Linked DNA regions of Oryzias latipes. The protein of the gene in region 2 binds, or shares a complex with, the protein of the main gene of each other region. Links are inferred from orthologs where the notes say so. Each region holds a gene or a part of one and is shown on either strand. Other genes may lie near its edges.

Region 1 (3,750 bases), on a different chromosome or scaffold from region 2:
GTAATTCTCTTGTTTCCATATGAAGTATTCTAAATTTGCAGTTTCATATTTTGAGTTTCTTTGTGTATTAAGTTTTATTATGAACATAAATTATAGTGCAGATGCACCAGAGATTAATTGAGGTTCCCTTCTCATTGTAAAGTCAAATTTTAAACGTTTTACTGCTACATGGAGGTCTTATAAAGACGAAATGATTTGGTTTTTAGTGTTTTTGAAGTAACCATTCACATTATTATTGAATAAAAGTAAAGGGGAAAAAAGGATTAGATGAATTATGGGGACAAATAAATTATTTCGATGCATTTAAAAGTTTTTTGTTTATATAGTGTGTGGCAACATATTTTAATTCTTAAGGATAGAGTTTAAACTGGAACTTTGTTTTGGATGTGAAACTTAGCAAATGTCAGTTTTAAGAGAAAAACACTCTTTTTTCGCTGTCTTCGATAAAATTTTGATTTGAAATATATTTCTTTAAACGTGTTAAATGATTGTAAGCAAATATGAAATTATATAACAAGAAACACAGAAATAATTAAAAATACTCTAACTTCGCATATCGCTACGGCAAGCAACGAGGGGCAGATTACCCCGCCTTCTGTGGAGCGGCTGCTGCGGAGAAGGATCGACCATGTCGGATCCGGAGTCTCTGAGGTGCTCCAGCGTTAGAAACCGCGGAGGCGTCCAGAGGGTGGAAGGAAAGCTGCGAGCCAGCGTGGAAAGAGGAGATTACTATGAAGCGCATCAAATGTACAGAACTTTATTTTTTAGGTGAGACTTTTCTTTTTAAAACGGCAGTTGTAATTTAGATTCGAGGCCTGTCGGTTCCAGATCATTCGGCTGTCAACCCTGCTTTCAGGAATGCTTATGATTGGTTACGCCACACCAGGGCCCCGCCTTTCTCTGTAGTTCCCCGTATGTGATTGGTCGACGGTCCTGTCAGTCTAACTGTTAGCTAGCGAGGTTCCGAACAGCGCCGCTAGTATTTAGCTCATGACAGAAGATTTTTTGACTAATTTAAGGCAAAAACGCAGTTTAATTTGATTATCTTTTGAGAAATATTAATTGTTTTAAAATTACATTTAAAGCAGCAGCTGCTTTGTTGTAGCAGGATGGTAATTATTTATAAAAGGTTTGCTAAAGCTAGCCAGCTGTGTTAGCATGTTGCTGTAGCACATTTCGTGCTTCTTCACCGGGTTAAAAAAATAAAGCTGTGGTTATTATTTTCGGGTTTGGAACTGTTCCTGTTTGTATCGTCTATTCTATTTAATTTTTTAAAATTGTTTTTAAATGTAAAGTATTAGTGGGGCTGGTTCCGCTTCCCCTGGTAAACAGCCGGCTGTCAATCAGTTTGTCTCAGATTGTGATCTTGAAAGTTTTTGAGTCCTTGGGAAAGACACGCAGCCAGAGTGTCCTGATCTTTATAACTGTAAGTTCGGTTGGATAAAAGTGTTTCCTCAATGTCATCTCTGATAAATTTGTAACTAAAGGCTCTTAAATGCGATTATAAGTTCCCCAGTTTGGTTGTTTATGGTTTATCTTAATTGTAAACAAGCTAACCTTCCTCCTATGTTGCTGTGAAGTTTCATAACTTCTCTGTCCTGCTGATTCTCTTCACTCTGAGCTGACAGGAAGGTTAAAAAAGGTCGCTATACATTCAAACTAAAACCAAACCAACCCTTCATATGTCGTCCCTTCCCTCTCTGATCAGGTACATGTCTCAGGCTAAACATGCTGAGGCGCGGGAGCTGATGTACCGCGGCGCTCTGCTCTTCTTCAGCCACAACCAGGTAAACCGCATTCACTTCTGCCCCGCTTTACATTTCTATTATCTCAGGGAACGCCAGTTCACAGGTTGGTGGGTAACGAACACCCCGCTTACAAAGACATTTGTGTCACTGACAGTTTTATTTTGATACTAAAATCTAGTTTGTGGCGTTTTCTTCTTAGCAAAACAGTGCAGCAGATCTGTCCATGTTGGTGCTGGAGGTTTTGGAGAAGTCAGACGCAAAAGTTGAGGACGAAATATTAGGTAGGTAGAGACCAAAACCGGACCACATAATCAACAAAGAACTCTTGATTTTGACTGTGGATCTTGTGTTGGACCAGAACATTTAGCTAAGCTGTTCAGCCTGATGGACCAGAACTCTCCGGAGAGAGCGGCGTTTGTGTCCAGGGCCTTGAAGTGGTCCACTGGAGGCTCCAGCAAGTTGGGCCATCCCAAGCTGCACCAGCTGCTGGCTCTCACCTTATGGAAAGGTAAGCTGTGGTTCTGTGGTTGTTTGTGAAGAAACTTCACCTGACGGAGCTTTGACACGTCGGAGCTCAGCTGGATTTGTGGAAACGAGTCCGAAAACCTCAGGGGTGGAACCGTTTCTGAGAAAGTCGTGCTGCGACTCATCAGGAAGGCCTGGGGCGACGCCGACTGTTCTCAGTTTGTTTCCACCCGACAGAGCAAAAGGTTCAAAACGAAAAGCTTGTAACAACATCTGTGTTTGTGGAAATACTTAATAGTCTCAGTTGAAGGTTGTTATGATAATCATTGTATAAAGTTTCAGGTGAAGATTTTCACATAATCATTTATAAACCCCTCTGGGTCCAGACGGGCCTCACAGTCAGCCTCAGAACTGGACTCACCTGGAGGGTTCTGTCACATTTCTGATGCCCCCCCCCCCCCCCCACAGGGCATTTCTGCCATTTAACAGTTATTACTGAAATGTAAAAAGAACTCAAAAACATAGTTTATTTTCAGTGGGAGACGGCCCCCCCACTAAGGTCCTTTAAAGACCCGCTCTGACGAAAAGGGTGTTGGAGGACGTGTATGAAGGAAATGGGACCTAAAATTGCCTTTCTGAGTCTTTCTTTATCCAGATCAGTGTGAATCAGGAGCAGGCATAAAGATGCTGTTTGAAACAGATTGTATTTGTGATGTACCTTAATACCCAGGGCGGGGCCACAAACTGCCTTCTCAGCTTAAACAGAGAGCTCTCAGCAAGGAGAAGGGAAAGGGGGGTGGGGTTGCTCTGTACCGACAGTCCTGACCACAACTCAGAGGTGAATTTCTGACGCTCTGCAGAAATTATGTCCTAGAAAACGACACTGGGTTTTGGATTTAGGCTAAAAACGGCGTCGTCATGGTGACAGTCCCTCTGGAAACGCTTTGAAAATGGATCCAAAGAGGATCAGAGCTGGACTTGAACTGGCTTCAGTCTGAGGATCGTATCTGTAAATGATCTGAGGGCTTCTTCACATGAAAGCTCAAGCATTCGTCAGCTTCTGGATCATGGACTCCTCCTGACTTTTCAGAACAAAACTACAGCGAGTCCCGTTATCACTTCCTGCATTCGTCTGACGGGGAGGGCTGTGCTCAGATGCTGGTGGAGTACTCGGCGTCCCGGGGATACCGCAACGAGGTGGACTTGTTTGTGGCGCAGGCCGTCCTACAGTGAGTGAACGCAGACGGATCCATTTGAATGAAACATTCTCACTTGATCTTCTGGAATCAACTGCAGACTTTTGATTGGAGGATTATGCTCCTTTATACATTTACATTGGAAGACTTCATGCGAAATAAAGAAAAAAACAAAATATTTTCTTTATTATCAGCTGATAGTTTAAAAAAAACAAATTCTCTTTCAGTTCTGCTAATTTTGCTCCAAAGGATCTGGATGTGAACGTCACACAATAAATCCTGATTTAACGGAGTATTTGAACGCATCACGCTGACGGCGTTTGTCAGGAAATGCTTGTGAA
Region 2 (3,750 bases):
TGCTGACTCAAAATGCTTGACCATTGAGTGATGCTAAAAAATTTGAAAAGTTGGCCTTCTTAGCTGAAGTTGGAGGAACACAGTGTGCTCTTACTGTTGACTTTTGTCACAGCTTTTGTGTGAAATCCTGGCGAGAGTCACGGGGTCCGGGCTGAAGGGTTCTGAAATGACTGTGTGCTTTTTAGCTCGCTCCATGCCCTCAATTTGAGGAGCTATAAAAAATAATTGAGATTTTTAGGTCACGTCTACAACCTGTACTTTTAAATGATTGACCTACTCTTTACCTGCACTGGGTGAGGGTCCTGAGAGGCAAACAGTGGTCCTGTAACGGTCCAGTTCTTCCTGTAGCCTTCGAATGAGTTCATCCTTTGTATCCAGTTCAAGCTCCAACTCATCTATGAGTGTGTCTCTCTGGCGGAGCTCCTCGATTTTTAGTTGCAGAGCAAACTGGAGGTCCCTCAGTGTACCCATGATCTGCAGGCATCAGCCAGGAAAGCACAAAGATAAACAGCTCGTTGCTATGAGAATAAAAAAGAAATTGTAATTTTTTATTTCACAAACTTAAATATGAAAAATATTATGCATATCTATCTATGTCAAAATGCTGCCTTGCAATTGTAGCACACATTTCCATCCAGGTTAAAGGCAAAAACAATTCATTGTCAAGTGCATCATAAGTTTATCCCACTAAAAAGAATACATTTTCAGAGTAAACAAATTATACTTTTTTTTATTATGTACGTTTTATGTGAAGCTGCAAGGTTTTATGTAGGCTATATAAAAATTGTCAAAAGAGAAAAAAACAATAACAAAGATAAATTGTCTTTATCATCTTAAATTTAATTACACTCAGCCACAGATCCATTGTTTTTTCAACACCTAATTGATGGATGGTACACAAATGCTACTCACCGGTGTAGGTGAGCAGTCCGCCTGGCGTCCTCAAGTGAAGGATGCTGGTCAGGAGGAATGCCCACAGCGCAGACAGGCGGTCACGTGACGCGGGCTCCCTCCAACCACGAGGAGGGGGAACAGAATGACACATGCACAGGCTGGATCCGAACTGGGTCAGAGGAAAGTAGTTCTAATGGGAAAATTTGACACTAAATTTTGCTTTCGGAAAGAAAAAAGAACGAGCATCTGCCCGACTTTGGACATTAAAAAAATGTCAATGCTGTAAACGCATTTTTTGTGAAAATCTTTTTGTGTATTGAACATAAGCAATAGAAGGTGGTCAGGTAATTATGGGTAAATTGTAACAGTAATCTACAGGTGAGTCGGATCCAATTTTCTTTTCAAATTGACAAACACGTTACTATTCAAATGTAATGTAATGACAAAAGTTTATCACCATGTTTTTTGTCTGTCAAAGGAAAAAAAACACCCATGTGTGTACAGGTGTATTGGCACAGTATCCTGCTTAGGAGATCAATTTGGATATCATCGCCTAACCACTTTAGTTCCGATAAACTTTTAATTGAACTTTAATCGTGGTGTCATTTCTTCTTAGCTGCGGTACATCCTTCATGCCAGTAGGCGGCAGCAGCATTACTTGATGTCAGCAACAGAGGCAGTGGCATCGTTGAGAGGAAACAGGAGAAGAAGATGGGACGCTGACGGGACCACAGCCAGTGTGGCTATAACGAGCAAACTTAGTAACCCTTTTGGCTGGACTTTAATCACATTATTGTGTGTTTTTGTTTTTAGTGAGAGTGTTGAAAAATGATTCTTACAGTAAAGCCACTTCAAGGGAAGGAGTGCAGTGTTCAGGTTAGTTAAAAAATCGAACTCCATAATGCTAATTTGCACAATCAGCTAGCCGGGTATATCTGTTAGCCGCTCAGCATCATAAGTTTTTTAAAGTGCTTTGAATAAAGTGAACATAAATTTAATTTATTAGTGACTGTAACTCTAACACTAACCAGTACTAAAGATGCGGTTGTACATATACACACCCGTTTATAGTTCTAAAGCAGCTTTACCGCAGCTAGCATGTTAGCTAATTTAGAAATGCAAGACGAAGAACTCTTTCTGTCTGAATCATTCTCGCTGAGGTCACGCCCAGCAGCTGAGTGGAAGTTGTTGTTACTCCTTACTTGGTGCTAATGCAGTAAAGAGAAGTGAGTAAGGAACCGCGGTGTATTAGAGGACTTTGTTTGGTCAGCGCGTTGAAACAAAAAACGGTGTTGGTATTATTTTACAGTTCAGCAGTTATATTTGCTGCTCCTGGATGTGCCTTTGTGTCAAATCAGTTAAGACATACAGTTGCATGAAAGCAGCATTATGAACCTGCTTCTCTTATCACAAATTTAGAATTGTATATATTTTTCATTTACATAAAGTAATCATTTTAAAACTCCACAGCACTTCATTAACTTTTTTAATTATGTAGTTATATATTCTATTTATAATTTTTTTTAACCAAAACATTTTTTTGGTTTTGTGTTGTTCTTATTTTGAGTACCGTAGTACTTATGATCATGTTTTTTTTCTTTAATGCCAACTTTAAAGTGTAGCGGTAATTACACATTATACATTATATATGGCTGTTCTTCAGATTAAGTCAAACATGTGCACTTAAAATTGGTCATACAAAGCCATTTAAGACATCTATTGAATTAGATTTTAAGCCGAGAATTTTATCCCAGACAAGACAGTGAGTTTTCGGCACATTTCGAAAAAAATACGAAGGCTTTGAATAAACAATATATTTGTAATTGTTTTGAATTATTGTAACAAATGTTTTTGTCTTGAGCTGATAAAACGTTTTCACAATAGGTACTTTGTTACTTTATTACATAAAATGAATTATTTATTTTGCCCGTTTAATACTGTTTTTATGTATTCATTTTTTTTATTATTGCATCCTTAGAACTTGTTTTCCCCGCAGTCTTTCTATACCAGTTGACTCTATTGTTCTTGTTTAAATTACAGTTTAAGAATTTGTTTTTATCCCACAGGTGACAGAAGATGAAAAGGTTTCCACAGTGAAGGAACTTGTTTCTGAGCAACTCAACATACCAGCAAACCAGCAGCGGCTGCTTTACAAAGGAAAGGCACTGGCAGGTAAAATTTGCCTACTACTTTTTTTTCTTTCCTTTATACTTTTGTCAGGTTCATAATTTATCTTTCTGTATGCCCTTTTTTCTTTCAGATGAACACAGACTTAGTGATTATTCCATTGGACCAGAGGCTAAATTGAACCTAGTAATCCGTCCTGCAGGAGAAAGATCTGCAGCCTCAGCAGTGACTGGCTGCAGCAGCAGGAACATGGGAGGACTGTGGCAGACTGTGTCCACTATACTTGCTAGACACTTCAGTCCAGCAGATGCAGCAAAAGTTCATGAACAGCTTATAAAGGTAAGATAAGTTTTTATTCATGGTTTCCCAAAAGTTGTAATGGTTAAAGTTCTGTTACTGCCTTTCAAACCCACTATATAAATTATATTACAAAACGAATGTCTATTTTAACTATTTAAAATAATTTGTCATGTTGTGAGCTTGACAGTTAAGCTCCTCTTTGTTATTACTAAACTTTGTTTTTGTTTGTTTTTAGGACTATGAACGTTCACTTCGACAGCTCAGCCTGGATGACATTGAACGACTAGCAGTGCGATTGCTTCACCCTGACAGCGAGAGCATGGACACCTCCTACATGGACTAGCATTGGAAAACCTAAATCTACTTTGTATGAATAGATTTAGGAGAAACTACATGTTTGGGAAAATAAATGTGAGGCCATTGAGAATA

Evidence for each region. Proteins that work in one complex are often made in the same cells at the same time.
Region 1: ubl4a (region 2) and get4 share a complex: the UniProt entries of both Homo sapiens proteins name them as parts of the BAG6/BAT3 complex. The link is inferred for Oryzias latipes from reciprocal best matches to the Homo sapiens genes UBL4A and GET4.

Annotation. Positions count from the first base shown.
Region 1 is NC_019877.2:1,619,863-1,623,612, forward strand, and holds the start of get4 (Golgi to ER traffic protein 4 homolog), read left to right. Parts: upstream 1-943; 5' UTR 944-1,426; intron 1,427-1,708; coding exon of another isoform or gene 1,709-1,712; coding exon 1,713-1,787; intron 1,788-1,947; coding exon 1,948-2,029; intron 2,030-2,106; coding exon 2,107-2,256; intron 2,257-3,303; coding exon 3,304-3,442; intron 3,443-3,750. UniProt on the Homo sapiens protein: As part of a cytosolic protein quality control complex, the BAG6/BAT3 complex, maintains misfolded and hydrophobic patches-containing proteins in a soluble state and participates in their proper delivery to the endoplasmic reticulum or alternatively can promote their sorting to the proteasome where they undergo degradation.
Region 2 is NC_019867.2:16,994,854-16,998,603, forward strand, and holds the start of ubl4a (ubiquitin-like protein 4A), read left to right. Parts: upstream 1-1,574; 5' UTR 1,575-1,722; coding exon 1,723-1,770; intron 1,771-2,960; coding exon 2,961-3,066; intron 3,067-3,154; coding exon 3,155-3,360; intron 3,361-3,556; coding exon 3,557-3,664; 3' UTR 3,665-3,750. Other genes in the region: cGMP-dependent protein kinase 1-like, read right to left, coding at 95-212, 285-471. UniProt on the Homo sapiens protein: As part of a cytosolic protein quality control complex, the BAG6/BAT3 complex, maintains misfolded and hydrophobic patches-containing proteins in a soluble state and participates in their proper delivery to the endoplasmic reticulum or alternatively can promote their sorting to the proteasome where they undergo degradation.